Danio rerio: one gene and its partner. Each later gene encodes a partner of the first gene's protein in a complex. Links are inferred from orthologs where the notes say so. Each region holds a gene or a part of one and is shown on either strand. Other genes may lie near its edges.

The links.
Region 2: eif3ja (region 1) and eif3eb share a complex: the UniProt entries of both Homo sapiens proteins name them as parts of the eukaryotic translation initiation factor 3 (eIF-3) complex. The link is inferred for Danio rerio from reciprocal best matches to the Homo sapiens genes EIF3J and EIF3E.

Annotation. Positions count from the first base shown.
Region 1 is NC_133200.1:34,320,927-34,337,133, forward strand, and holds eif3ja (eukaryotic translation initiation factor 3 subunit J-A), read right to left. Parts: upstream 7,438-16,207; 5' UTR 7,346-7,437; coding exon 7,324-7,345; intron 7,187-7,323; coding exon 7,098-7,186; intron 6,628-7,097; coding exon 6,570-6,627; intron 5,326-6,569; coding exon 5,234-5,325; intron 4,825-5,233; coding exon 4,707-4,824; intron 4,618-4,706; coding exon 4,453-4,617; intron 4,368-4,452; coding exon 4,294-4,367; intron 1,682-4,293; coding exon 1,550-1,681; 3' UTR 594-1,549; downstream 1-593. UniProt on the Homo sapiens protein: Component of the eukaryotic translation initiation factor 3 (eIF-3) complex, which is required for several steps in the initiation of protein synthesis.
Region 2 is NC_133194.1:25,036,085-25,051,677, forward strand, and holds part of eif3eb (eukaryotic translation initiation factor 3 subunit E-B), read right to left. Parts: intron 10,162-15,593; coding exon 10,052-10,161; intron 6,033-10,051; coding exon 5,930-6,032; intron 1-5,929. UniProt on the Homo sapiens protein: Component of the eukaryotic translation initiation factor 3 (eIF-3) complex, which is required for several steps in the initiation of protein synthesis.

The DNA of each region.
Region 1 (16,207 bases):
AAGTCAAGAATAGAGCATTTGTAGCTGCAGTTATAAACTGCTTACTAACGTTTATTAATGCTTAACAGATAATGAATTCACTATTTGCTGATGCTTAATAAATGATTTATAGTGCGTAGTTATTATAAAGTGTTACCGAAATGTTTTGTAACTTTAATAAAGATTAACTAATATACAATAAAGACTATGCATAGTTGATTATTTAATACCTGAAAACTATCATTCACTTTTATCTCTACTATACGTTATTGATCTATGTTTGTAATTTATTTGTTATATATTATTCGAGATTCCTTTTAAATCATCTGATGAAATTGTATTCACATCATAATATATAAATCACAGAAATTCAAAATACCGTAATGTCAGATTTTTCCAATATCGCGTAGCCCTAATTCAAGTTTACAGATATTTGTTCAACTAATTTCCATGACTTTTCCAAAACTTCTCCAGGCCTGGAAATTGCCATGTCAAAGCTCCATGACTTTTCCAGGTTTTCCATGACCGTATAAACCCTGTCTCTAGCCCTCAGAAAGAATCTACAAGCTCTAAAAATACACTACCAAAAAAAGCAAAGAACACACAACCACTGCTGGATTTTAAGCAACTTTTATTAAATTAGATCTTTATAAAACAGTGCAGAGTCCTATCATCGGCTTTGCTGATCGTAAGCCTCTATGAAGCATCTCTACCACGCTGCGAATTGTCAATAAAATGGAAAGCCAAACGCCGGCTGAAAAGACCCTACATCGACGTTCAGTCCCTTATACATCAGCATAGCGTGTGTGTGAAATCACGCTAGCATGGCTGAGCTCAAATGAACCACGGCATAATGTTATATCTGTAAATATTTGCGTAATTCACTCTGCAAAAATTGAGGTAATCCAAATACCGCTGCGACGAAAACAAATCAGAGTAATGCTTTTGGTCTGAGACACATGGAATGCATTACGAGCTACAAACGTAAAGGCGTTATTGTCAATGCGTTATGCTCACGTTAATTACGCTACACTCTAGATTGACTTATCTAAATGAGCTCACTATAGCCTACGATCAAAATAAACGTGATTGTACACATGATTTAGAAACCACGTGACTTCGATATCAACATTTCGGGTTGAGTTAATCGCCCTGGTTTGCAAAAAGGAACATCCCGTAGACAAATAAAGGGTTAATGTCGCGTAATGACATTGAGATCAATCCGGACTGAATTTTGCATAGCGTCATTTATTTCCTAGAAATACCGAACAATAACACTGTTTGTTTGTTTGTTTGTTTGTTTAAGCCAGGGCTGTGGGGATTAACTGATACTGCAGGTTCACATTTGTTTTATCGGGTTTATTATTCCAACCTAAAGTCACGACAGGCCAGAGGGAAAAGAGCGCAGTTTATTGGTACTCTCTGATGGGAAAGTGTGCATTGCGTGGATGACGTTCAGAGTTATTTAGCATGTTCTGGTTGTGGGCCTGACAGTGGGAGAAGGTCATGCTGTTAAGGTGTGTGTGGTTCAGCAATCAGCAAAAAAAGTTAGAGTTGGGTTAAGCCTTGGTCACATGAAGTCCTCATAGTCTTGTGCATAACCGCCTTCAAACCCGCCGTAATCTGCCAGATCGTCTTTCATCTTGGCTTTTAAACCTCCCCCTGGTAAAACTCCCTTCTTTTTCTTTTTACCTTTGTTTGCCTATAGAATAGGAGGAAAAAACAATTACGAACACATTTTATATTAAGGTACACAGTAATCTGTGTGGAGTTTGCATGTTCTCCCCTTGTTGGCGTGGGTTTCCCCCACAGTCCAAAGATACACGCTATAGGTGAATTGATTAGATTAAATTGGCCAAAATCAGTGTATGTGTGTGCATGTGTGACTTGGTGTTTCCCAGTGATGGGTTGCAGCTGGAAGGGCATCCGCTACATAAATCAAATGGAATAAGGGACAAAGCCGAAGGAAAATGATTGAATGGGACTTGCAGCACAGACAGTAAGTAAACCCTTTCACAAAATCGATTTCGTGGAATTGAATCGAACGGATTTGTTTGTGTGGATGGCCTTTGCATCCACGGTTCCGTCACTTGTTGAACAGGTGGCTCGAAATGCGGCTACCGATAAACAGCAAAACGGATGAACTTGGGACTGATGCTTTGCATCGAACATGCGCAATGTATACAAAAAACTCAACACAAGTAAAGAATTTGCCTGTCCGTGATGCTGGGGATACAAGCAGAGGAGCTGAACATGCACTGCTGCATGGGCCTCTGGCTATGATATTGCCGGTTGGGGGAATGTTTCTAATATAAGTCGCAAGCAGATGCCAGTATTAGCAAGTCATGAAACTGGACACCTCAGATGCAGTTCTAGACAAGTGTATCTGTCTGCAAGACAAGGTGTAACATGGAGGGGCGTAACTTGTAGTAAGTTAGAGAGGTGTAACTTACAGTCATCGAGATCCCATTGCGAGATGTAACAAGATGACAAAAATACTTAACAGAGAGCATTTTCATGAGCTTTCTCCGAATTGATCCACAACCTATTCATTTGATATATTATTACATTCATTTAGCAACTCCACCATGCAACTTACTCGCCGACTTCATCCGTTTTGTCATGACAGTACTCGGCATCGCCTTCTGTGGTTGCAAAAACAGTACAATGGCGAGCACATCAAATATGACAGTCTCCGCAACTCGCAGCTGTACGTTAATAACTGATGGTTGGGTTTAGGGAAGGTGTAAACGTTAATAATGATGATGATTGGGTTTAGGTGGGTATAGACGTTATTAACTGTGATGGCTGGGTTTAGGTGTGGAGTAGACATTAATAACTGATTGGTACATTTTGACATGTGGGTCTTCATAACTTCAAGTTATGCCTCTACCACAAGTTACGCCCCGGTCTTGCAGTCCACACACAGACCCTACTTCTTCTAGAAGATGGTGAAATTCATTAAGGTTTGTGCGCCTCTTTGTGGTGACATAAACCCAAACACAACAGCATTTTAGAGAATGTGTTTATATCCATGTCTATACTCACAGGATGTTCTTCACATCATTTGTGATGATAAAAACATTTGTGCGAATGAATGAAGACTATCGCACAAGTAATTTAGAGCGAATGAATTGAATGCTCTCTTTGCATTTAGTGTGAACACGACATTAGAGCTTCTATAGACCATTTTGACAAATGTAAACAAAAACCATTTTCCCAACGTATTTCCTGTTTTACATTTAGCTTTCGACAATCCAAAAAGAGCCACATGTTGATAGATGATGTTATGACAGCCGTTTTAACATGAACTTATGATTGAATTGCCTATAGTTATGAAATACTTTGATAACCAGCAGGAAATGTTTATGGGCGACTGATATGACCATATTGAAATGGTCTACATTTACCCTTTTAAACTAGATTTTAAAATTACCCAAAATTCCCATCACTAGACTTGATTCAATCTTTAGATGTGCTGCGTCTGAAACCGCATACTTCCAAACTATATAGTACGCTAAAATCAGTATGCAAACCGAGTAGTATGTCCGAATTCATAGAATTCGAAAATCAGTATGCGAGAAGTACCCGGATGACTTACTACTTCCGGCGAGATTCTAGAGTGCGCATCCCATGCATGCTGCGCTATCCAATGATGCCCCGCGAGCGAATTCATGAATGGGAGTAAAGCGACGCAACTGACGCAGGTAGGTCACGTGACCATGACAAAATGGCGGATGTAGTCTGTCCGAATTCCATTCATACTTTTCACGTTCATACTGTATAGAACGTACTTTTCTAACGGCCGAGTAGCACGTTTAAATTCAAATGCAGTACCTACTGAGTAGTAGGCGGTTTCGGACGCAGCCATGGTTTCTTTTCAAGTTACTCTCACATATGTCCCTTGTATGCAAATTGCAGACTTTACTGTCTACGTCTGCCTGAATTCATCATGTAATTTTCCCAGAAATCATTCACTATTTCCCTGGAGAGTACAAAATTGATAGGGAAGTGCTATGGCCGATACCGAAAGCTTGTCAGACATAGCGAAGGGTGAATTGCTTTGTTTGCCATTTTGAAAGAGAAATTCAATTAATCGCTAACTAAAACACGAACTTGGCAGCACTAGTTGGTGGTTTTAAATGGTGTGATTATTTATCTACACCAGGCCTAAAGCATCCAAGGTGTCAGCACACAAACTCAGCTAAGTAACGTTTAATAACACTTAAAAGAAAATAGCAAGATGTAATTTGTGAATATCATGCCTGATTATTTAGGAAATCTGGTAATTGTTGCATTAAATGGTTTTCATACCTTTTCTTGCCTCTGTTTTTCACTTAGTAACACTGTTAGTGAGGTGTTAATTTTCTTCAAGTCTTCAACTTCCACTGCAAAACCAATTCAAAATGTCAGCAAAATACATGATTTACAATGAGAATGACGGAACAGTCAGCTGAAATGAAGCATACTCACATGAAAGACACAGATCCCTAAACAGTGTTTCTAAAAAGCCGGAATAGTGTATAGACTTCTCATAGGGAGATATTTTTTCTTTTAGCAACCTCTCGAACTCTGTGAAGTCGTCTTTCGAAGAGGGACTTATTGCATCGATTCCGGTAACATTATTTGAAACTACACCTAAAAAGAGAGAATAAAAGTTCAGAATTGAATCTTTTATCCGTTTTAAAAACAAATGTAGATGCATGTTATATACAGAAAGCACTCACCAAATGCCTCTTTTGCTAGTTCTAAGTCTGAATCCTCCTGTAGTTGTTTCACTCTGAGTTTCTCTGCCAGTTCATCTTCTGGTGTGAGTGGTGTGTCTCTTTTTGTCTCCTCTAACTGCTTTAAAAATGTAATGTTGTATACATTTAATGAAAAATATTCTTACAAAATGAATAGCATTTACAATAATTGTTGTACTATAATATATTTTAAAATCTAATTTATTCCTGAAATGTCAAACTCAAAATCTCAGGATCATTATTGCAGTCACATGATCCTCATTCTAATATGATTTGCTGCTCATGAAACACTTATCATCAATGTTTTATAATCAGCTATATATTTTTTGTTAAAACTGTGATATATTTACCCCAAAATCCTTCATGAATGGTTATAGTTATAATACAAGTTCAAAGTTTGTAGCCATATCAAGATAAACTTCAACAGTGACAGCAAAATAAAAAAATAAAAACCCACAATGTGAATTAAATGTGCTTAATATCAATAAATTGTTACTGCGCCAACTTACTTGTTTTCTGAGCTCCTCTTGTTTTTTCCTTTGTAAATTTTCCTTTTCTTTTATCTTTTCACTGAGTTTCTTTTTTTCTGTAGGTTTAGCCTCTGCATATGAAAAATCCAAACAAAATCGCATACAAACGTTACAAACTGAAGTACCTGATCAGGGTTTCTGCAGGTTTCATCCATTCAAATGTAAGAGTTTTTAAGACCCCTTTAAGACATTAAGAATGACATTTTAGACTTATGCAGGGTTGAGATTTATCCTAATGGCCTGGTATTGTCCTGAGGAATTGAGTAATCATTTTTAGTTTTTTTTTCTCCTGATTAGGCCATTTAATTTGGGGAATTTTCTGTAAGAAATGGCTAACAGCTGTTGGGAATGTATCTTTTTGCAATAAAAAAAACTTTAATTTAAAAAATAAGGTTTTATTGAGACACATTGTGGATGATTGGATGGATTTCGGTTGAGTAACTTTACTTGGACAAAACAAAATTAAGACCTGTTTAAAATTATTTAAGACCTAAAACACAATATTTGAGTGAATTTAGGAGTTTTTAAGGCCTAAAATGTAGTTGAAATTTAAGACTATTTAAGACTTTTAGGACCCTGCAGATGCTTTGTAATTATGTGAATTTAAATGTGGATAATTTACAGTCTTTTAAAAAAATATTTTTAAAATAGTTTGTATATTCATGCATGTAGATTTATTTAGTTATAGAGCCAACTACAAAATAAAAAAATTCATAACAGACGTCCCATTTTGGTGTGCAGATATACACAGTTAGCATGTCAAATGAGATGATGTAATATTTCAAATATTATTTGTGAAAAAAGCATGTCGAAATATTGTGAAAAGGGTTTCTCGTCATTTAGTGTAATGTATACTTATTTTGACCTGTACTTAAAACAAATTAACTTAAACTTTATGAATTTTTAAAAGTATTAAAATCTATGGTAAATAGATACTAATAGATAAAACCTAGTAGTTCTAGTATTTCTCTTGGTTTCTCAATACTTTATTATTATTAAAAAAAAAATTTTTAAATAATTTTTGCTTTGTATAAAGTTAGTTTTATGTACTTTAAAAACTTGCTTTATAAGTAATTGAACTTGGTTTAAAGGACAAAGGCGAAATTACAAAGATTAAAAATGACAGTAAGTATTTTGAGGCTTCAACGTGATTGCTTAAATAGTTTAATATATCATCAAATTATTATTGTTCTTCACTGATAGCCTCATGGTCACTGCGCAACATATGCTTTGATGCTTCAAAATCCTTTTTGGCCTTTGACCCCATTTTATCCTAACAATGCACTTTTCCCCCAACTCATGAACATCACTGTACCTGTCTTTTTTTCCTCCTCTTCCTCCTTTTCTTCCTCTTCATCATCATCCCAATTATCCTAAATGGAAAGGAAGAATACTTTTAATTAATAAATTAGTCCACTTCATCTTCGTTGCTAGCCTAAGAGAAGCATTAACATTCTCAAACTTTCCTTTTATGAAATCTCCTTGGGATGATCCAATAATTTTAAATAATCAACAGGTGACAATCTACAGTGACATGCTGCTACAAAAGGCCATCTACACTAACAAAACTATTAATTGTAATTAAAGGCCTAGAGAAATGGAACTGACTCATATAATTACTATAATTTCACTGTTTAACTTATGACAGCGTATTTAAGCAGGTATACACCAAACTAAATAGACACGTATTAGGACTTATCACCACGTTGTTTTGACACTCTTGAGTTAGCAAGAGTAGCTAGCTAAAGTTAGCCAACTGTAATGTCTTGATATGTAGGGATTAAAGAAGAGTTAAAACAGTTTTTTTTACTTGAGAACGACAAATTAAGGGTTCGTTACTAACTTTCACGTCGTCGTCCTCATCCTCGCCCTCCCATTTGTCATGAACTGCCGCCTTTTTGATGGGCTCCTCAGGCTCGAAACTGTCCGCATCTGGAAAACGACCGATTGTTCAGACAGATCACTTAATGACAGGCGTATTTTTGGCGTACGTTTATCTGGTAGAAAAGATTATATGTTTCCAAGCGAATAGAAGAGAAAGATAACGGTGGAGTTTAAGAAATTCTCACCCCAAGAATCGGCGTCCGCCATGATGTCAGAGTCGCTGAGGGGAACGAGAGAGTGAAGCTCAACTCACTGCACCAAGACTTCCGGAAATTTCAAAATAAAGGTCCACCGATGGACGGTAGGGAAATTTTACAAACAAGTAAATTGTGCAGTACCATGAGGAATACCATTATCAGACATTGTTAATTTTTTTAACACACAATCAAATAAAATGTCGTTTTGTGGCTTTTAGATTGTGTATTAGTTCAAGACAATCATTTGTTTGCTAACTGTAACTTTTATTAGATTGTGTAGTGTGTGTGATCTAGTGCGGCTTCTAGAAAACAAACAAAAATATTGACTCATCCTGCACTACTGATTTTGTCCAATTAAATTGAGTATATGTACATTGACTTTTAAGATCTGAATTCTTTTTTTTAATGTGATCTTTACTTCCTGATTGATATATGAAATAAAGTTGGTCTAGACTGGACAAGAAGTACTGCATTAAGTTGATTTCTTGCGTTATGTCTTTAAAATATGGAAATGTATTTTCTGTGGAGTTTCTGCACTAGCACGCTTCTACTGATGACACTTGCGTTTACGCAATCGTTCATCTCGTTTTACACTTAAACAACTTAATAAATGATTAAGTCTATTAAACTGATTGTATTTCAATTACATTACAACATCGATGCTATTAAAGGAACCTTATAGACGAATTACCATGTTTTTAAACATTCAGGATGCGCGCGCAGGGAGTGGCAGAAAAAAAAGGGGAGCGCTAGCATTTACAGCGAGGGAATGACATCCGATGCGGAGTTTGTTGACTTAGAAGTAAGTTATACTGATTACATATTATATATATATATATATATATATATATATATATATATATATATATATATATATATATATATATATATTATTATATATATATATAAATATATATATATATATATATATATATATATATATATATATATATATATATATATATATATTATTTTTTTTAATATATATATATATATATATGCATGATTTACATAATGCTTTCAACGTATTATAACAGCTTGTCACCCAGTGATAAGTACAGTGATTTGGCAAAATTAACGTTAAAGTGAGTGATGTGAGTCGCGAAAGCACCCTCCCAATGAATATTGGATAAGACGAAATGGCCAAGCATCCTGCCCCAAATATACAACTCTCTCATCGAAGCTCCAAGTGTTTTAACAAGATTAAGAAATAAGTGTAAGAAATAATGTTCCATGATTACCAGATTCAAAACTATGTAGTGCTAAAAACAGAGGTTCTGCTTGGCCAAAGACAAGGAAAGCAGACGGAGCCAACGTTAACTTACACATAGAGGTAAAGTTGGTTTTATATTCACACATTCTGACTTTCTCCTTAATAATATAATTTTATAAAAGTATTATTTGCAAACTCTAAATAGCAAAATCATATTAGCCGCCAATGACTATTGAAGTAGAACATTGCTCACAGTCAAATAAACAGTGCTAATGTTGTTTTCAAGTCACACTTGCAGCTTTTTCAGATCGAATATTCAAAGTGCCGTGGTAAACAATATAGGGAGTGTGTCACAAGTTGTCACTAAATGAATATGTGAATATAAAAACCAACTTTATCTTAATAACTTACACTTTCACGTATTATTCTTAGCATTCAGTGTTCGCAGTTTAATTAACCATGTTTAACTGTTTATGCTGAAATCATTGCTGCAATCACAAACGAGTAATTTGCATGATTCAGCATTGCGTAAACTTGATATAACATGAGAACTGCAGAGTCCAGCATTTCTAATTAGGTTGTCACTTCATTCAGCTCCCTTTTAGCCAAAGATGTCGGCAGTTAGCATTAAAAGCAGTGTGGTGTACGGTAAATGTTAAGTTTTCTATTTTTAAACTTTAAAATTTGGCATCTGCACAACACAAACATGTTTACTATAGCCACTATATATAGTCTCTTTTTGCAACTGGGAACCCGTGTGACGTCATGTGTGACGTAGGTTGGTAATTCGTCTATAGGCACATAAACCTTTTACCAAAAGTTTATCATTGGCTGAAATCACTAGCTGTGCATACAGCCCATTCTCACTAGAAATCGCTCCACAATTTAACCTTAGTATTTTTTTTTTGCAATTGTCAGGGGGTGAACTATGGTGATTTCAATAGGAATCCATGAAGTCAGGAATTTTGTATGATGGCAAAGATTTCTTCATGCAGGTTCAATTGGTTATGCCTCGTTGACTGCTTTGCTTATAAGCTTAGCTTGAAAGTAATTTATACATTGTTACTACTATAAAACAAGACATATTTTGCCTGTAGAATTTTGCAGCAGTCTTGCTAATGTGACCACACCACTCAAAAGCAGCAACCGAGTGCTGTCCATGACCACAACATGTCCTTTGCATTGATTACCCATTGTTACTACAAATAAGACCAACAGCCACAAAAACGTATTCATTGTAGTTAAACATGGCAACCGCAAGTCAACCATTCTTTTTCTACACAAACCACAGTTTAATCTTGGTATTTGGCCTAATAAAAACAAAAGTTAATAAACGTTCCAAAAACCAGTAGATCTTTAACAAATCGTCGGCGCCAATAGCCTAGTGGTTAGTGCGTCGACACATAACACCGAGCTGCTCGCAGCGACCCGAGTTCTATTCCTATCTCGAGGTCCTTTGCTGATCCATTCCCTATCTCTGCTCCCCACACTTTACTGTCTCTATATCTCCACTGTCTAATCCACAGGTGTCAAACTCTGTTCCAAAAGGGCCGCAGCTCTGCACAGTTTAGTTCCAACCCTAATTGAACACACCTGATCAAACTAATTGAGTCCTTCAGGCTTGTTTGAAACCTACAGGTAAGTTTGTTGGAGCAGGGTTGGAACAAAACTGTGCTGGGCTTCGGCCCTCCAGGGATTGAGTTTGACACCCCTGGTCTAATCAATAAAGGTGAAAACCCCTAAAAAATAATTATATAAAAAAAAGATCTTTAACAAAACATTCTTTTGTAACCCTTACAAACACTATTGTTTTATTCATGTTAATATGCAGTTACTTTATATAGAGCACTATTTGAGGTAGCAGCCATTTGTAACGGTCTCCAAAATCAAATTGGACATTATCGAGTGCACTCAATAATGTCAATTAGCACAGGAATGAGCCACTAAATACTGTCAATACCGCTTCTAGTGCACTCAGAGTGTCTGAATTTGCTCACTTGTTTTTCATTTATTCATTTTTCATTCATTCATTTTCTTGTCACATAGTAATACACTAACAAAAGTAAGCAGGAAACCACACAGACTTTGAATCTTTCTGCCAGTTTGTCTGCAACCTTTTTCCACACGTTAAGAGTCGGGGCTCTAGCTTTATTTATTGGGTGTTGAAAGTTCTAACAATACTATATCATGAAACTGAAATGCACTGCCGAATAAATAAAGAATGCGGAGGAAGCCATCTTTGCGCAATTATCTTTTTTACAGCTGTCAGTCCTGCCAACCAGACCTTTCTTTGTCGCTCTGTCAAACCCATACTGGAATTATCATTTAAAAGTAGCACATATGGTTGCACTGGTATATCTTTTCCTATATTCATTCATTCATTTTCTTGTCGGCTTAGTCCCTTTATTAATCTGGGGTCACCAACTTTTCCAGCACATTTTGGCACAGCGGATGCTCTTCCAGCCGCAACCCATCTCTGGGAAACATCCACACGCACTCTTAAACACACACACACTCATAGACTACGGACAATTTAGCCAACCCAATTCACCTGTACCGCATGTCTTTGGACTGTGGGGGAAACCCACGCAAACGCAGGGAGAACATGCAAACTCCACACAGAAATGCCAACTTAGCCAAGGCTCGAACCAGCGACCCAGCGACCTTCTTGCTGTGAGGCAACAGCACTACCTACTGCGCCACTACGTCGCCATCTTTTCCTATAATTTCAGATAATAATCATGACGTTTTTTCCAAAACTCATACACTTTTTCTCCTTCCCACAGCATATGTATAAATGTTCCAACCTGTTGGTGAGAACAAAAACTGCAATTGGGACTTGAGGATAACTTAAAAAGAAAAATACTCTTCATTTATTGATCTTCAAGTAATTCCACACCTTTGTGAGTTTCTTTCTTCTGTTAAAAATGGAAATATTTCGACAAAAGCTGAACCTGCAACCATTGACCTCAAAAGGAAAACAAATACCGGGAGGTGAATATAATTTCCAAATATATTATTTTGTGCTTAACAGAAGAAAGAAAATCATAAAGGTCGGAAACAAGTAAATGGTGAGTGACTGAGCAAGTTTGGGTGACACGGTGGCTTAGTTGTTAGCACTGTCGCCTCACAAAAAGAAGGTCGCTGGTTCGAGTCTCGGATGGGTCAGTTGGCATTTCTGTGTGGAGTTTGCATGTTCTCACTGTTTTGGTGTGGGTTTTCTCTAGGCGCTCCAATTTCCCCCACAGAATTGAATAAACTTGGCCGTAGTGTATGCGTGTGAATGAGTGTGTATGGATGTTTCCCAGTGGTGGGTTGCAGCTGGAAGGGCATCCGTTGATAAGTTATGATAAGTATTATGAATAAAGGGACTAAGCTGAAGCAAAATGAATAAATAAATGAGCGAAATTTCATTTTGGGGTGAAGCTGGACTCCTTTTAAGAGACAGATTTGTCTTTTCAAATTATTTAAATTTTTTAAGATGCTAATTTGGTGGTATTCCCACCAAATAAAACATCTGTTTGCTTGTTTTTTGAGAAAAAAATCTAAATAATAAATTTCTACTACCAGATGCCCTGGTGTTGGACTGTCTCTTTAAAAAAAAACTAATAAAGCGCCTCACTGTCCCGGGATGCTGAGGGTGTGTGTGCGTGTGTGTGTAAGCTACATCCACGTTCCTCAGCATCCGTGGTTCATGAAAGACATGTCCTGACATTTGCTTTGTAAATACGTGAGCAATACAACGACAAACACTTCTTTCCTTGAGCAACGCCGAACTGGCTCCGGTAAGCACTTGTTCGTTTTAATAGGCTATCGTCGGTATTAAAGTAGGATATGTAAACGCTTCGATTTTCTGTTAGTTTTATTTTAGCCTGCAGTATAAGGACAGAATGTACAGAATGCTAATGCTCGAAATCACCTCATATTATTGCCGATGTGAGTGAGTGCACATTTTAAGCGCGTGCACATGCATGTGGCGTCTCAATGACGCGAAAACGGCGACGTATCTTCATGTTCTCTGGATATAAAGCAAGCTAATGTTTCTTGAGGTGTTGTGTGGACAAACATGAGGTTTCTCCGTGATTTACGTGTTATCAGCCGTGTTAGTTATTCATTTGGGCTGTGAAGAATCCGGGTCGATGGATGTTGCAGTAATTCAGTCTCGAGATCACTGGAAGAATGGATTGTGACGTCAGAACTACTGGATATGAGGTTATTTTGGTACTGAAGGAGGTATATATATATATATATATATATATATATATATATATATATATATATATATATATATATATATATATATATTAGATAGATAGATAGATAGATTGAAACAGAACTGAATGTGTTTTGTGAAGCTGTTAGGGCATATCTGTGTGTTAAAATATTTATACAATTTGGTCACATGATGAAATACTATAGCAATTTATAGTAAACACTATAGTGTTTTTGAACCATAATGTAGTGAAATGGATTTTACTGTATATATTTTAGTATTTATTTACAACTTTGTTAATGAATGCTACAGATAAAGTGACCTGTTAAACTCCGTTTAATCTACTCTAACTCAGCTGTGGTATATTGTAGTATAATATACTGTACATTCATTCATTCATTCATTTTCCTTTCGGCTTAGTCCCTTTATTAATCCGTGGTCGCCACTGCGGAATGAACCGCCAACTTATCCAGCACGTTTTACACAGCGGATGCCCTTCCAGCCGCAACCCATCTCTGGGAAACATCCACACTCATTCACACACACTCATACACTAAGGACAATTTAGCCTACCCAATTCACCTGTACCGCATATCTTTGGACTGTGGGGGAAACCGGAGCACCTGGAGGAAACCCACGCGAACGCTGGGAGAACATGCAAACTCCACACAGAAACGTCTTGCTGTGAGGCGACAGCACTATCTACTGCGCCACTGCATCGCCCAGCATAATATCCAGTTGTAGGTAATTTAGCTGTTGGGTAATTTCATTATATTACTATAGTTGTTGTATTACAATTGCAAATATCGAATAACTACAACAGATTAATTCAAGTAATTCACTATAGTATGAATCAAAAAGACCACAAAAACAAAACTCATAAATTGTTGTCGTTTTTTTTTTTTTTTAAATTGGTAAACATGGTTTTATTATAGTAAATACGTTTTTTTTTTATAGTGTATCTTGGCACGTTGACTACCGATTTGTTTAACCACAGTTTTATTACCAATACCATGGTTAAATTGGTTACCTGGCTGAAAAAAATTAATAGAAACCAACACAGAAGTTCTAATAATAGTTCTTTTGTTATAGTTTTAACAGTTGTAATGTAAATTATATTGGTTTTAATAGAAACTGTATCGGTTCAGTGGGACTAGTGATATTATTTTACCTTCTAATAAAATATATGAGCAATATCACATGAGTAGCAGTGCGATAAGGCTGTATATCAGCACTGGTGGGAGGCGTGCGCTGCCTTAGCGTCCCACCAGTGTTTATATACAGCCATATCGCACTGCTACGAGTGTGATATTGTGTTTATACAACAGTTCAACGTCACGATCCTGTATATAAATAAGAAAATCCAACACGGAAAGTCTAAAACCCTTTTTTTATTAGAAACTACTTTCTTCCGCCATACATTCTCATCTGCAGCTGACGTCAAAACAGCAAAAGCCTTTACTAATTCACCAACGTCACTTTAGAGCTAGTGTTTGAATGACTCTGTCTAAAGTAATGAAAAAACTGCTGATTTTGCTTACACTTTAAGATTATAAGGCTGAATGTGGCATGAAATACCATCCATCTACAGAGATATCTTCTTACAGTGTTACAGTCTACATTATTTCTCTGTTGCAATCGGGATATCGCAATAATTAACCCCGGAAATAACAACGAACCCACTAACGTTACCAGACTGCTGTTGTGTTTGCGATAAGAAAAAACGCTAAACACGTGCAGACTTTGCTTATTTCAATCTGCCAACACAACACACATTCCTGATATGCGAGCAAATCGGTATAAAAAAACGATTGCACTGTTCTTGCAAATAAACTGCATAGTTGCAATCTAAACAACTACATTCTCGACTAAAAAAGCCTCAAATGTATATTTTGTTGTGTAACAGCAGTAATATTTGTCAAACTGTTGTGTCTGCTTGTTGCTGGCTGTTTGTGGGCGGAGTAATACACAAAGGGTAAAGAGGTTGTACGGATGCTGATAGTACGGCTATCAGCCAATCAGATTCGAGATCCAGACAGAACTGTTGTATAAATCCTAATAATGGAATACATGGAATAAATCCTAAAAATGGAATACATCCCAAAACTAATTATACCATTTCAATAGTTAACATTTGGCTAGTATTTAATGTTTTTAATGGTAGATATAGGAAAGTGGAAACCATTAGCATAGTCTGTAATGGTTTCTAATGTTTGTTTTTTTGTTTAGCATGCAGTGCTACTATAGTTAAAGCAAATTAACCATAGGTTTGGAACATTAATAGTATTTGTAATACAACTGTAGTCGTGCAAATATAAAGAAATGCCAATAAATAATTGTAACTACACAATTACTATAATAAAAGCAAGGTTAATTTTTGTAAAGATAAACCAGCATAAACTGTATTAATTTCACATGTGTTTGTTTGTTTTTTATATATAAAAACCAGCTTATGGACCAGCTGAACACCAGCTTGACCAGGCAGTGCTGCACATCACTGTGGCTCTTGTACAGCATTAAGGTTTTTTAGCAGGGAAGTGTCCAGACTAAAGCATTTACATTTAGATGAGACAGCAACTCCCGGCAGGTCCAAGGGTTGCACCATGTCTGACAGCTTGTGCATTGGTGTAATTGTCCTTTATTAGGTGTGAACACATCCTTGTGTTGTTCTTTTGTTTTGATATAATCATTCATACGTCCAAGGTAACAAAAAATGGGTTCTTTTAAAACAGGAAATATTCTTACAATGTTCTGGGAAGGTTTATGTCAAGTTATTGTTCATTGAGGATAATCGAACTGCACTCAAAAGTTAGCCCAAAAACATTGTATACATTAGTCATTTATAACATTTTTGTTGTACAATATATATTGCACCAAAAGTTATTGGGAAAAATAATCTAAGCAAAACAATCTTCCAATGAGGAAAGCAAAATAATCTTGTGTCAAAAGGAAAAACAAGCTTATTTTGTTTACCCCATTGGTCGATTTTTTTTGCTTGTTTTAAGTAAAAAACTCACTTAATTTTGGCATATTATTTCTAAAAACAAGACGATATGTTTTGCTTGTCTAGAAAATGCTTCTTAATATAAGAATTTTTAGATATTTGGACTAGAAACAGGACAAAAAAAATCGAAGAAAAACATTTTTGCAGTGTAAAAAAAGAGTGAAAAATTCCTCGGCAAAAGGTGTGGGAATTTTTGTATCTTAAGTTATAGTGCATTCATATACTCAATATAGCATTTATTTATTTAAACCTGTCTCCTTTAACAAGCATTTAAAAATAAAGAATGAAGGCTCGTTTCTGCATTGCTGAATAAGAAAGCTGTGCAGTTTATGCCAAATGGAAAGAAACCCTCTGCAAATTCATTGACAGTCTGTGAACATAAAGGAACATTAAGGAAGACAGGTATATCGGCCAGTTTCTTGCTGATCTAATAGCGATACTA
Region 2 (15,593 bases), on another chromosome or scaffold:
AGTTTATTGGCTAGAGCCAGCCAATGAGATGGGGCGTTTCTGTTTGTCAGCAGGGCAGCTCACGTTGTTGGAGGCCTCGAGCAATCAGAGGGTAAGTTATGATTTTTAATAATTATCTATATGTTCAATACTGTTAGCTAAGCTAAGGACTGTGCTAGGTGCTTCTCTAGTTTGTTTTTTTATATAAGAAACAGTTATGAGTTATCTAGGAGCTGCTTTCAATCATGTTATATGGTTCTAAAGATACGATTCAACCCACATGAAATAAGTTGTAATAGTATTTTAGTAAATAAGTAAATAATATTATAGTAAATAATATTACGTTTTTGAACCATACTAACTATAGTAAACTGTATTATATTGTATATACTGCAGTATCTACAACTTTGTTAATGAATGCAACAGCACACTGTAGTATTAACTAGCATGAACTTTAATAAATTGAAGTATATATATATATATATATATATATATATATATATATATATATATATATATATATATATATATATATATATATAGCTTAAATTTGATAAGATTGAAATATAGCTATTTGTTTAAAACTAAACATTCTAATGTCATTTATTATGCAAATATCAAGTTGAAACAAATCTGTTAAGAACACGTATTTATATGTAAAACCTAATACATTTTAAAGCAGTTTCATTTCTTTCTGATTTATACATCTACATCCATTACATCTGATTTAGGTCCACAACTTGCATCCTTCAACATGATATGTGTGTTCAAAGGAAGAGCAACTAGGTGAGGGAGACAGTGTCCATCGCTCGGCTGAGGGTCCACTTTGAGCATCTCATCTGCAGGGTTAAGCAACATAAGCTGAACAGTCATCATCTCTCTCTATTACAGCGAGCTTTACATCAACCAGCTTTACACAATGGCTTGCTTTTTGCCCATTACTAAAGGTTTGAGCAAAGGATTAAAGAGGAGATAACATTTGATGGGTAATGATGAAGTTGGATTTACCACCTCCATCTCATTATGAACAAGGAAAAACCCTGAAATATTTCAATACAAGTAACTAGACATTTGCACTGCACTTATTTGCACTGTAAATTTTATTTCACAAATTAATGTTAAACATTTCCCTTACAGCACAGGTGTCAAACTCAGTTCCTGGAGGGCTGCAGCTTTGCAAAGTTTAGTTATAACCCTAATTAAACACACCTGATCAAACTAACTGAGTCCTTCAGGTTTGTTTGACACTTTCACTTAAGTGTGTTGAAGCAGGGTTGAAACTAAAAACGTGCAGGGTTACGGCCCTCCAGGAACTAAGTTTGACAGCCCTACTTTACAGTAAAGTGTAAAAATACTACATTAAACAATTAGCAAAATAAAAGTTGTGTGTTGGTGAGTTTATGTTTTGTTTAAATCTGTAATCATCTTGGCAGGTAAAAAGAGAAAACAAATGGTCGGCTTCCTCTTGAATGATCTGAATCATTTTGAAGTGTTTGTAGATGAGCTGGATCATCATGTCATCTTTAGCATAAATAACATCCTATTCAAGCTATGCAGCTTCTCTGAGTTCCTCATCGACTTGAAACATGCTGATCTCTCCTGTCACTCCATCCTTACAGGAAACTGAGAAATAACCTATAGTTAGTAACTTTCATAATTAAAAAAGTGAAATAAAGGACACACTGTACACAAACATGTAAATAGATAGATGGATAGATAGATATGATGCAGGTTATTATAACAAAAACCGGTATAATCAGTGAGAAACTGAAACGCCTAGTGTTATTTTTAATTGCTATTAATGTGTGTGTAAATATACTTTAATTTATTAAAGTTCATGTTAGTTAATACTACAGTGTGCTGTTGCATTCATTAACAAAGTTGTAGATACTGCAATATATACAATATAATACAGTTTACTATAGTTAGTATGGTTCAAAAACGTAATATTATTTACTATAAATACTATTACAACTTATTTCATGTGGGTTGAATCGGATCTTTAGAACGATATAACATGATTGAAAGCAGCTCCTAGATAACTCAAAACTGTTTCTTATATAAAAAAACAAACTAGAGAAGCACCTAGCACAGTCCTTAGCTTAGCTAACAGTATTGAACATATAGATAATTATTAAAAAATCATAACTTACCCTCTGATTGCTCGAGGCCTCCAACAACGTGAGCTGCCCTGCTGACAAACAGAAACGCCCCATCTCATTGGCTGGCTCTAGCCAATAAACTGGCTTTGCTGCTCTTTTACTGGTATGTACATTTCCGCAAAATTAATGATTTTTAACAAGAATCTCTTCAGAAAAGAGTTGAAATAAACCCTAAATAATAAAATAATCGTGGGAAATGATTCTTTTGCACCTCAGTCCTGTTGGCTGCTGGCATTGTTCATTGGTCAGGCATCAGCCAATCAAACAGCTTTACACCTGCCCCGCCCCTCCCCCGCCCCGCGCTGCTCACGCCTCTGCATCTGCGAGTGCACAGATGAGTTCTGCTACAGAGATCGCGGGAGATGTGTAGCAAAAGTCAGAGCGCGGGAGATTTGTAGTTGTACTGACAAAACTGAGAGGTTGTGAGTGCCGACCTGTGGTTGTAGAGATAAGATGCAATCAAATTTGCCGTGCACACGTGTGTCTGTCATTTTGTATTTGTAAATGACATTTTACAAATACACAACTATTAATCTGCAACTTCTAATTTAAAACACAAGTGTGTGGATTGTTGTGTGTGTGTGCAAATCGAGGGATTCAGCTGTTCACATCAGAGCTGTAAGTGTACATTTCAACCTACACATACAAATATTATTATCACAAGTGCTCACATTTACATTTGCAAGCTCTCGAGTTACGCAACTGATTTACCTTCATACTCATGTCTCATCACAGAGAGGCAAACAAAACTGACATTTAGCCTACAATTCTTTCACAACACACTCTGTTATTTGTTATCTCTCTCTTTTGGTAGTGCCCAATTTTAACATGAAATTTTGCAAATCAGATCTAAATTTAGCGGAAACAGTCAAGTTGGGCAGCGGGTAAACAAAGACTGAATATACGGTGGGAATATACTTAACCTTTTATTATGCTGTTCAATAATTATAAAAAAATTTATAATAATGCTATTTTTTATTATCATCAAATATTACATTTGAATATATTTTAATCATTTAAAATACAAAAAGAAAAAAAATGAATGAATGAATGAATGAATGATATTGCGATTCCATCATTATATTTATATATATTTTAATTATTTATTATGCTGTTTAATATATATATATATATATATATATATATATATATATATATATATATATATATATATATATATATATATATATATATATATATATATATATGGCTTAGTCCTTTTATTAATCTGGGGTTGCCACAGCGGAATGAACCACCAACTTATTCAGCACGTGTTTAACACAGTGGATGCCCTTCCAGCCGCAACCCATCACCGGTAACACCCATACATCCTCATTCACAAAAATACACTATGGACAATTTTGCTAACCCAATTGACCCTTTGTTAAGCCCCGCCTTCCTTAGTTTCTGTTGCTACGCCTGTCAAGCTTTCATGCCTGGCATGACTTTTACAATGTGTTTGCGCCGGTGTCAGACATTGCCAGAGATACAATGTCATTTTTGGCGAACAGGTGAGATATCCGAGAAAGCCAGACAAAAAGAACTGCAGTATGCATTACAGGGGTATATTTACGACATAATAGGCAACCGATTAGAAAATAATTCAATCAAAATTAAAGCTAAATTAGCCTAGCCGCCTCATATGCTGACCATTTGATAGTTTAACTCATGCTCAGCAGGAGAGGTGAAATTGAAAATAATCTAATAATAACAAATTAAACCATGATTTCTCTACTTTTAACCAAAAAGTCTGATAGATTAAATGTTTTGCAATGAAAAAATAGCGCAGCTTACCGATGAGGAAACACGCATGGACAGTGCTTCTACATCTTTCATTCATAGAAAGAACAGCCAGAATGGCCAAATATTAGCATCATTGACCCATAACAATGTACAGTAAGTTACCTATTACTGTCAGTATGTTTGTGTGCTTTTTATAAATTAATGAAAAACAGCTGGGGGTAAAGTATATTGATCACAAGTGCTCAGTTTGTGATCTTATCTCGGTTTTGTTTGTTGATTTGTAATTTCAAATATTCGTAGCTTGAAACAGATGGAAATATGAAGTTCAGAAAAGTTAGTAACAGATTCGCAGATTCATATTTGCCGGATCAATAACTCATGTCATTATGACCTATTTGCCATTAGTATGACTAAGTTACTATGGCGAAGGCTTAAACGGAGCATTACTCATAATATTGAGCGAAAAAGAAAAAGACAGCTGTGAAACATAACCTGCTTTGTGTTTTTGTAGGAAACAGTTGAGATCTGTTAGAGGTGTTTGAGCTATTTTTGTCGATCTATCACTATATGTCAGGAATATCAAAACAAAACTAACCTAACTCTGCTCCTTTAGTGCATCTCACAGAGCTTGATCCACGCTGGCAATTTCCTCTTGGGTTTTTGGTTTTGAAAAGGGAAAAATTACACCATCCTGTCCAAACTTTAAGGATACCGAGTATCAGATTTGCACAATCCATATGCAAAACGCTTTGGTCTGTTTCCCTCGAAAGCTTGACAGAGCCCCTGTATGTAGCTACGGTTGCTAAGCCACGATTCATGGATGGCGGTTTTTGGGTGAGGCTTTACGAAGGGTCAATTCACCTGTACCCAATGTCTTTGGACTGTGGGTAAAACCAGGGCACCCGGAGGAACATCATGGACACGGGGAACACAGAAACGCCACCTGACCCAGCCGAGGCTCAAACCATCGACCTTCTTGCTTTGAGGCAACAGCACTACCTACTGCGCCACCGCATCACCATATATTTATATTTATTTTTATGAATACACACACAATATTGCCAATCCTTATCCAATGTCATCAAACATTTTATTTATATATATTTTAAACTTATATTGTTCATTAAAATAATAATTACCAAAATAATAACAATAATGCCATTCTTTAATTTTTTTTTATTTTTAAATATCATTTCATGATGAATTTAGACACTTTTACCAATATAAAAGTATTGATTTAGCACTATTTAAAAAATAAATAAATAAATAAAATTATATTTCTAATAGGGCTGCACAATATATTGTTTTAACATCACAATCGCAATGTGTGCATCCGCAATAGTCAAATCGCAAGATATGCAATGTTGAGTTGACTTTGCAGTGTATTTTTTACACTTCAATATACAAAACCATAAAGCATGCACTGTTTATCTCATTTTTATCTTTGCATTATTGCATTTATGTGTGCTTGTAGTTTGTTTATTACATTTTATGCATGATTCGCTCCCCTATTGGGATGACAGAATCAGCCGAATCAATCAAAATGAATATCTTTGGTAACACTTTAAGGATGAATTCTCACTATTAACTAGCTATTATTAGCACTTATAATTTACAGTACATATTCTACATGATCTTATTCTACATTTCTAACTCAATACCTAAACTACCTTAATTTCCTATATTAATAGTATTATAAAGAAACATATTCAACAAGTCATATTTAATGGTTTGCTAATAGCAAGAATTCAACCTTAAAATAAATTGTGATTAAAAACTTTTCAAATAGTGCTACTCAATCATTTGGTGAAATTGCATAGATACAGTATATCGCAATATATATTGCAGAAAAAAAAATATTGCAATGTCAGATTATTCCAATATCGTGTAGCCCTAATTTCTATAACAAATTTACCATAGGCTTATTTTTCCTTGGTAAAATAAAATTGTTTGTGGGCTCTTTAACTGTCAGAGAGAGTCCAGAGCATCTCAAACTAAAGGGCTTTGTGTTTGGACATGTGTTGTGCACCCCAGAGCTCACTCACCAGTTTGGAGTCGATTTTGGCATCCAGTCTGGCATTGCGGATTAAGTTTACGATCCATCTCTCGGCCTCCTCAGGGGTCATATTCAGCTTATCTGCCAACATGCTGCCCGGAGACAGGAAGAGCGATGGATGAGAGAGAGAAGGAGAAATACAGACACTGCCTAAGGTCAACAACGAGATGAAGCTCTTTGTGTTCAAACAAGCGCTCAAACTCTCGGAGCAGAAAATCCATTGGAGTGATAAACACAAACTAATGACATGAATTAGGATGCACCACCATATCTATGACTACATGTGAAGACAGCGGGGTATTTAAAAAGTCTAACAAAATAAAAAATGTGGCTCAAATAGTGCTGTTCAAACACTCATATCACTCCAAACCCCACAATTTTTTTAATTATATTTTGAGAACGCAAATTAAGAAATTGAGACATCTGTTCACTAAATGGAAAGTCTTTAAATATTTTAGATTTGCTTTCATTTTCTGTTGCATCTATTTCTCCTAGATTTAGATTCTTATTGTTATTATTATTAGGGACCGAGCATCGGTGATGCATAGACCCTATTGGAATTGTTCTGTTTATTATCCTTATATTATTATTCTGTTCAGGAATTAATTGCATTTTTGAGAGTCTAAACATGCCCAAAAACTTGCACACACATCAGAAGTACAGAAAATTTACTTATGATAAAGGTTTCGGAAGTGGGTGTGGCATTATAGCTTGACAGATTCACCTATAAAAATGTCAACAAAGTGCCCTACGAGCTACATTTCACATACACATACGAAAATTGGCACACATCAAACATGTCAATACCTACAAAAAGTCTTTTGAATCGAAAACCGAAAGCCAACAGGAAGTCAAATATTTTTAACTTCCTCCGCACTTTTTGCCATTTCCAGACATTGCACATTAACAAATTCCTCCAAGGGATATTATCAGATCATCAACAATATAGGGCATTATCATCTAAAGGCCTTGGCGATATATAATTGTGAAGATCCAGAGTTTTCGTCGAAGGGTGTGTCAGTGGTGTTCTCACAAACTTTGATGTTTCGCAACGAAAGAGGAAGTTATAACTCAGGCATGCATTGTCTGATTTTCCTAAAAATCCACACATTTGATAAGAGTCTCTACCTGAGCACGTTTACATGCCAATATCCAGTTACAGTAATAGCGCCACCTGCTGGCAACAGGAAATTACATGTTTTACACTGTAACAAACTCAGATCGAATTCAAATACCATTAATCTAATCCAAAGACCTTTGTGATGTGAAATTGTAAAGATCTAGTTTCCGTTGAAGGGCCTGTCCATGGCAGACCGACGAAATTCAGAGTATTGCTATTGAAGAGGAATTACTTATAAAAGTTAATATAGACTTCTGCGTCAAGCATGCACATTTCCTCTAGTGCAGCCTGTGAGCAGACGCATAGCCCTCACCATGGCTAACGCGCACCTCTTCAAAAATGTAACTACACAAACAGCACACAGAAGTATAAGTGCACAACTACACGGAAGGCAGGGTGGGTCACGCTGACCACTCAACATAGAAGTATAAACCAGCCTTAAATCAGCCACACGGACACTGCCTGAAAATTCACAGGTTCAATGGGATTCCTCTCCTGAAGACATTTACATGCCAATATTGAGTCATAGTCATAGCGTAACCTGCTGACAGAACAAAGTTTGGCATAAACGGGTGATTTTCTCAAGTTTATTTTTTAGATGTTCATTCATTCATTCATTTTCTTTTCGGTTTAGTCTCTTTATTAATCTGGAGTCGCCACAGTGGAATGAACCGACAAATTATCCGGCATATATTTTTCGCAGCACATGCCCTGCCAGCTGCAACCCATCACTGGGAAACATTTATACACACCCATTCACACACATACACTACAGACAATTTAGCTTACCCAATTCACCTATAGCGCATGTCTTTGGAAACTGGAGCACCCAGAGGAAACCCACGCGAACACAAGGAGAACCTAAATACTCCACACAAAATAGAACTACACACCTCACTGCTCAAGCTTGATGCGCTGCTCTGTTACTGATGTAAAGCCCCGGTTGTGAACATGCACACCGAAAAAATAGCAATGCTGATTTTGCGCCTCTCATGCTTACCGGCATAACAGTCTTTTATGCGGAGATGTCGGCACACTGTTAGTTTTGCAAGTTGACAAAACAGAGTTTAAATTATATGATGATCCTATTTAGACTAAGCATGGCTCCTGATAAATGTTTTCTATGAAGCAAAAGGAGGGACAGTAGCTATGTTTCCATCCAAAAATGAGAATGAACTTTATGCTCAAAACTGCATTATCGCATAAAAGTTGTGCGAATGAAGCACCGTTTCCATCCAACGAGTCAAAGCGAACAAAATCGTCACTTCCCGATTAACTGGCGCCAAATATCAACAGTAAAAACTGCATTTGCTGCAGTAGGAGAAGCTGCATCAATCTTTTCTAAATGAATGCGCCTCAGAAGACAATCCTGACATGCAGTGAGCGCGCAGTGGCGTTTGAAGGTGTCAGACGCGGAGCACAGGCGGTCATGATTCTGGAGGTCATTAATAATATAATAACACTAAAACTGAAACGGTAAGGCGTTTTATAATGACCAAAACAACATTTTAGATGTTTTATAATGTGCTCAGCCTGATGTTTTGTCCATTCACAAACATTTTAAGCTTCACATGATCTCTTTTAACAAAATCACATGACCTTTTTTAATAATTAAATTAATTTAATAAATAAAAAGTTTATCCTACCCAGTTAGGCGCATAAGTTTTTTATGCGCATTTTCAAAATTTATGCGCATCATGGCGTTTCCATCAACTGTTTTTTTTATGCGCATTTGCAAATGGAAACATAGCTAATGAGTAAGGGAGGTAAGACTTAATAAACCTAATTCTCAGCCATGAGTCTAAAGCAGGTCGCACACCAGAAGCGCCGCTCGGCGGCGCGCCGCACAGCGCCACGCAGCACCATGTATTTTAGAATTCTAAACATAGGTTTCTATCAGGATACACACACCGGCGCCGCAAGTCGGCGGCGCCCGGCGACGGCTCAGGACGCAGTTCATTTTTCAGCCGCGCCACAGAGCGCCATCTGATTAGTTTCATGTTAAATATCATTCGAATGTGCGCGTCTGGTGTGCGATACTTTAAACTGTCATGTACGCGCCGTGTCGCGGCGCCGAGCGGCGCTTCTGGTGTGCGACCTGCTTAAGACAACAGATAATTCCATAAAACATTTTTTTTGCATTATAGAGAATTGCCTTCTATAGAATTTCATTCACATTAAATTAATACTCTTGTAAAAAATTCTTAAATGATTTTAAAATCAATCCAGTTTTTACTTTAGATTTTTTCAATTACATTTAGGATTAATTTCTGTTATTTATTTAGAATAATAATTGTATAATAACAAAAAATACTGTTATTCATTTAGAATAATATATAATTTATTTGTTTTATTTAAAAAATAATAAAATTATATATTTTTTTTAGGAAGAGCTGTGCCCCAGTACAGCTTTATGTCTAGCAATGCCCCTGTATTAAACCCATTAGTTTATATGGATGTATTATTTAGATGTCTTAACAGGCATTTGGGTGTTCAGTAAGACAGCAATCACTCAAATTTCATTAAATTAAAAATAGCTTCACTAAAGAAAAGCAAATAACTTATGGGTCTGGAATAATATGAGAGTGAATAAATATAAAAAAATTTTTGGAATATAATAAACCTAAAATAGCTTAAATTAAACTATTCCTGAACTACAATGCTAAATATAATATGACTTATATAGACTTAACTTTGTAGACAAACAAAAAATTAAAAAGTAACTAAATTTCCACTAAAATAAAAACATAAAAATACAAAGAAGTATTCTCTCAATTACATAATAATATGCCAGCCGTACTATCATCTATCTCCATCTCACTCTCCATCCAGCTGATTCTTCAGAATGTACAGCATTGTGAGGTCTCTCGGTTTTTGTCAGACTTGGCTGGAGTCCGCTGATCCTGGCATTGCAGTGAATCCTCACAGCATGCTACGCTCTTTTTACAGCATAAGAGGATTAGCACACACTAGTCTATCAGGCGGCGCTACCTGATGCTGATGCACTGATGGATTCGGCAGAACGTCTCAAAGATGAACAGCCGAGCGTTTTCAATGAAGTCCTCCAAGCAAGCAACCAGGAAGAAGTCATTTACCAGCACCTTCAAAACAGAAAAAAACTCCATTAACAATCGTTTGGAAGTTGAGCAAGTATTGTTGATGATCTACCGAAAAGCACAGAGCCTATTTTTTTTTTTTTTTAACCAGCCAGTCTAAAACTTAATTTATTAATAAATAACCTTTTTAACACGAGTAATTTTGGTCACACTTAACAATAAGTTTTTTTTTTGTAGTTAATTTATTTACTAATAGGAATTAAGAATGAACAATACCTTTACAGCATTAATTAATCTTAGTTCAGCCAAATTCATGCTTGTTATCAGTAGTTAATGCATTGCGAGATAACATGAATTAACAATGAACAACTGTATTTTCATTAATCACCATTAACTAATTAACAAATACTGTGATAATTGTTTTTTTCATTGTTTGTTCATGTTAGTAAATGCATTAACTAAAATTAACTAATACAAACTTATTGGATAATTGTTTATGCAGAAAAAAATCTTAAATATGTTATTAAATACCTTTTATATAGCATTTTTTATACAAAAAAATAAGACTCTTTAAACTTTAACAGTATAGAGTGTAATTTGTGCACACAAATAGCACAAATTAATAGAAAAACTGGCGAGGCAGTGGCGCAGTAGGTAGTGCTGTCACCTCACAGCAAGAGGGTCACTTGGTCGCTGGTTCGAGCCTCAGCTCAGTTGGCGTTTCTGTGTGGAGTTTGCATGTTCTCCCTGCCTTCGCGTGGGTTTCCTCCGGGTGCTCCGGTTTCCCCCACAGTCCAAAGACATGCATTACAGGTGAATCGGGTAGGCTAAATTGTCCATAGTGTATGAATGTGTGTGTGGATGTGTGTGGATGTTTCCCAGAGATGGATGGGTTGCGGCTGGAAGGGCATCCGCTGTGTAAAAACATGCTGGATAAGTTGGCGGTTCATTCCGCTGTGGCGACCCCGAATTAATAAAGGGACTAAGCCGACAAGAAAATGAATGAATGAATAATAGAAAAACTTAACTAAGATTGCTGGACACAACAGCATTTAATAGTTATTAACATTGATTATGAGTTACAAATAATAACTAACATCCATTCAAGAGAAAAGTGCCTATAGAAAATCATATTGTGTGAAAATCTATGTTAACCCACATTACACCCTGCTTTCATAAGAAATTTGCAAAAGTGTTGTAGAAAAGCACAGGTTAGGAGAAGGCTACAAAAATATTTCAAAGGCTGGATAAGTTATTTGGAATGTAATCTGATTTCAGGCTATATGACAAATACAGATTTTTACAGATTTTCTATAGCCACTCACTGTATATAATGTTATATAATGAGTGTGTATACTACCATTCAAAAGCTCATTAAAATGTACCTATTGATGGATTGATTGATTTCCTTTCAATATTTTTTTTTTTCAGTTTTTGATGGTCTCATAGTCAAAATGGCTGTATTTATATCTATTTAAGTAAACAACGTACATTTGTGAACTATTATTACATTTCATATTTTAATATATTCAAAAATGTGATGTGTCCTCCGCTGATAGCAAAAAATAAAGTAGCATTGGTCGAATTCAATTAACAAACTTAAGCTTAAATTAAATGTTTTTGTGACTGTGTTTTTTTTCAAAACTTGTATTAATCCTCTCAGTTTATATGGATGTATAATTTAGATTTATTTGAAAGCACTTTGGGCATTTAATAGAGAAACCAAAATCATTTAGATTTAATTCTAAATATCTTTACTGAAGATAAATAAATATAAATTTAAATTCCGGGCTGCACTAAACCTAAAATAGCTAAAACTAAACTTTCTTTATGCCAGACTAAACTAAACAAATCTAATTCAGATTTTTACTTAAATAAAAACCTAAAAATAAAACAAATAGCATCTCAATTACAGCGTATAAAAATGCACTATTCTGTTAAAGGGTCACAAAACCCTAAAACACATTTTTAGAGATGTTGACAGACATATATACACAGTTGAAGTCAGAATTATTAGCCCCCTTTGAATTTTTCTTTTTTTTTTATATATTTCCCAAATGACGTTTAACAGAGCAAGGAAATTTTCACAGTATGTCTGATAATATTTTTTCTTCTGGGGAAAGTCTTATTTGTTTTAATTTGGCTAGAATAAAAGCAGTTTTATTTTTTTTAAACACCATTTTATGGACTAAATGATTAGCACCTTTAACCTATATATTTTCTCAATAGTCTACAGAACAAACCCTCGTTATACAATAACTTGCCTAATTACCCTAACCTGCCTAGTTAACCTAATTAACCTAGTAAAGCCTTTAAATGTCACATTAAGCTGTATAGAAGTGTCTTAAAAAATATCAAGGGAAATATTATTTACTGTCATCATGGCAAAGATAAAATAAATCAGTTATTAGAAATGAGTTATTAAAACTATAATGTTTAGAAATGTGTTGAAAAAATCTTCTTTCCATTGAAAAGAAATTAGGGATACAAATAAACAGGGAGACTAATAATTCAGGGGGGCAAATAATTCTGACTTCAACTGTATGTCCCACATTGCTATAAACACTATTAGGACACACATATTTCCATGACAAGTGAAAATTGAGAATTTGTTTTGTGCAAATTCGTTCTTCCGGTTCAAATCAAATTTTATATACACAAATCCCTCAAGCGTAAAACTGAGCCGGTAGTGTAAAAGACAGAGTAGATTATGTTTTCACAGGTCTGAATGCTGAACGCTCCCTCTGGCCCAACTAGGCCACGTCTCAGAAAGGAGACGAGCTGCCTCATAGCTGTAGGTCTGAACACTGACAGCAGAAATGCTCTAAAAAGCCCAGAGGGAAACCGCGGTAAATTACAGTAGACAGGGATTTGCAGTGGATGAATAGACCTATGGCTGCAAGGAAAAGGATGAGAATTCCTCTCAACATACATCCACGACTGCTTCAAACAGGACAGATCCAGTGTATTATGGGAATCACATGAATGACAATGTTTGTAGCTGAGCAATTTCATGCAAATGTCAACTTCACTATGAAAAAAAAAAAAAATCTTTCACTAAAATAGTGAAACTCTTTCTAGGCTTTATGAGTAAGAAATACCAATTAGTGTGATTTACCAAAGTCACACATGTGCCCATTTCACATTGGTCATATCCAGGGCCAGACGGAATCAGCGGACATTTTTTGCTATTTCTGCAAAGAATTATGGTAAAAATCTGTGAATTTCTGCGGAATTATTTTGGAAGTATCCAGCTGAGTTTCATAACTAAAACCTTAATAAATTAAATAAAAAGTAATAAATTACTGAATAAAAACTGAATAAATTCAGATGTACACATTTACTAAAGTAAATAAACAGAATTAATAGTGGGTTAAAAATCTGCGAAATTCTGTGGAAAATCTGCGGCAAATCTGCGGAATTCTGCGCGCGCAGATTCCGTGTGGGCCAAGTCATATCCATAACGAAGAGCTTTCACATTCATAACATAGCTATTTCCTCATAAATGAAACAATATTAACACTTATGTGCTGTTAGGGATGTTTTCATCCACTCTGGGGTGAGTTTAAGTCTTAATTTGGCCATAATATGTTTTGTGTTTGAGCTAGCAGAATGCTTTTTGTTGACAATTTTTTTTTATGACACAAAATGCTTTTAATTTAAGAAAAGAAAAAAAAAATCACCCTGAACAAAACTACTAATTGCTTAGAAAATGACAGGATTTTAACTCTTTAATTGCAAAATTCATAAATGATGTCACTGATTTAGTGAAAATATAAAGGGCTCTATTTTAACGATCTAGGTGCAAAGTCTGAAGCGCAGGGCACAAAAGCATTAAGGGCGTGTCAAAATCCACTTTTGCTATTTTAAGGATGGAAAAATACACTCTGCGCCGAGGCACAAGGTCTAACAGGGTTGAGCTTATTCTCTTATTGAGTTATAGCTGTGTTTTGAGAATAAACCAATCAGAGTCTCAAATCCAAATTCCTTTAAGAGTCAGTTTCATCGCACCATGGCGCATTTGCTATTTACATGGCAGACGCTTCACTAGCGAGAAAAAGCAGACCAGCTGCAGAGAAGATTTGTTTTAAAACTATTTCTAAATTTAGGTTTAATTTCTTATAAACGAATAATTGAACAAAATAACAAAGTGTGGTCAAAAAACTGAGTTATATTCAAATACACATGCTATGCACCATACAGTCCAAAACCTGACAGGTGGACAAATCTAAGCTTGTTTTTAATAAAACAAATATAAATATGCATGATGCATTGATTTTGATTGACTTCCTTTTTCCCTAATTTACTGTTTGTGGCTGTTTTGGCCCTATTGACTTTGACCATCATAACCACATTTTTATGATTACAAAACCATGACACCATATAACCAAGCATTTTTGATTGTTGATGGTATGTGTGTCTTTGCGCACTTACCTTGATATGTCTGAGAAAATCCAAATATGCATCTAAGCTCTACATGGATAAAACAAAAACAAAGACTGTGCATTTATGCAAAAGTGATTATAATGGAAGACAATGTGGGGAAAACAGCCACCAACAATAAAATTAAAGAGAAAAAATGAAAATCTAACAATGCATCAAAGCCAATAGCCTCATTTCCACTATCACGCCTAAAGCGAGCGAGCCTGTCGCGTTTCCGTTGTCACTTCCGGGGCCTGATTAAGCCAAAGCAGGGCTTCCTCAAAGCCAGCGGCTGGGCTTTTTCAGGCCACCGAATACCTTGGGCCAAAGGAACCTGCTGGGACTTCGTGTGGAATGAAAGAAGAAGAGTTTGCCTGAGTCTGGTTAAGATGGCATGCCGCCATTACACTAGTTTTCGATCACACACGAGTACATGCGCCAAACAAATAAATAAATAAGGGAAAGAAAAACATATAGCTGATAAGTTTAAGATAGGCTTTTCCATAAAACACCTAATAGGCAAGGGGTCTTATTGCTTATGATCGCCCTTATGGTTCCCTTTTAAATGTAAGGCTGTTGCATAAAATAATAAAGTAGTTTGAATTTATATGTGGCAATTCTTTGCTGCGTCCTACTTTGAGTTCTACACTATAATAAAGACACAGCCGCCAGTATTTTTTAGTTGTCGAGAGTTTTGGTCAAGTTTAAAAGATGTGTTTGTGCATGTTGATGTTATAAAATACATTTTATACAGAGTTATCACCGGAAAATGTCTGCAGTTTTATATTATGGATAGTCCGCTGGGTCATCCCTTCGTTAGTGGCGAGACCACTCGATGCACGATGCCAACAGTCAGTCGGCGAGTAAACAAATAAAATTAATGCAAATACATAGGCCTGTGCGCATAGACATATAACGTAATGCTGTACAGTAACATGTCATATGCTTGTTTCAGTTGTCTCCACTTTAATTGTTTTGTGATGATGCGATCTGCCTGCCTGATTCCTGCTGAACTGGGCGGGTTGAGTGACATTGTATTCGAGGGACATTCTGGA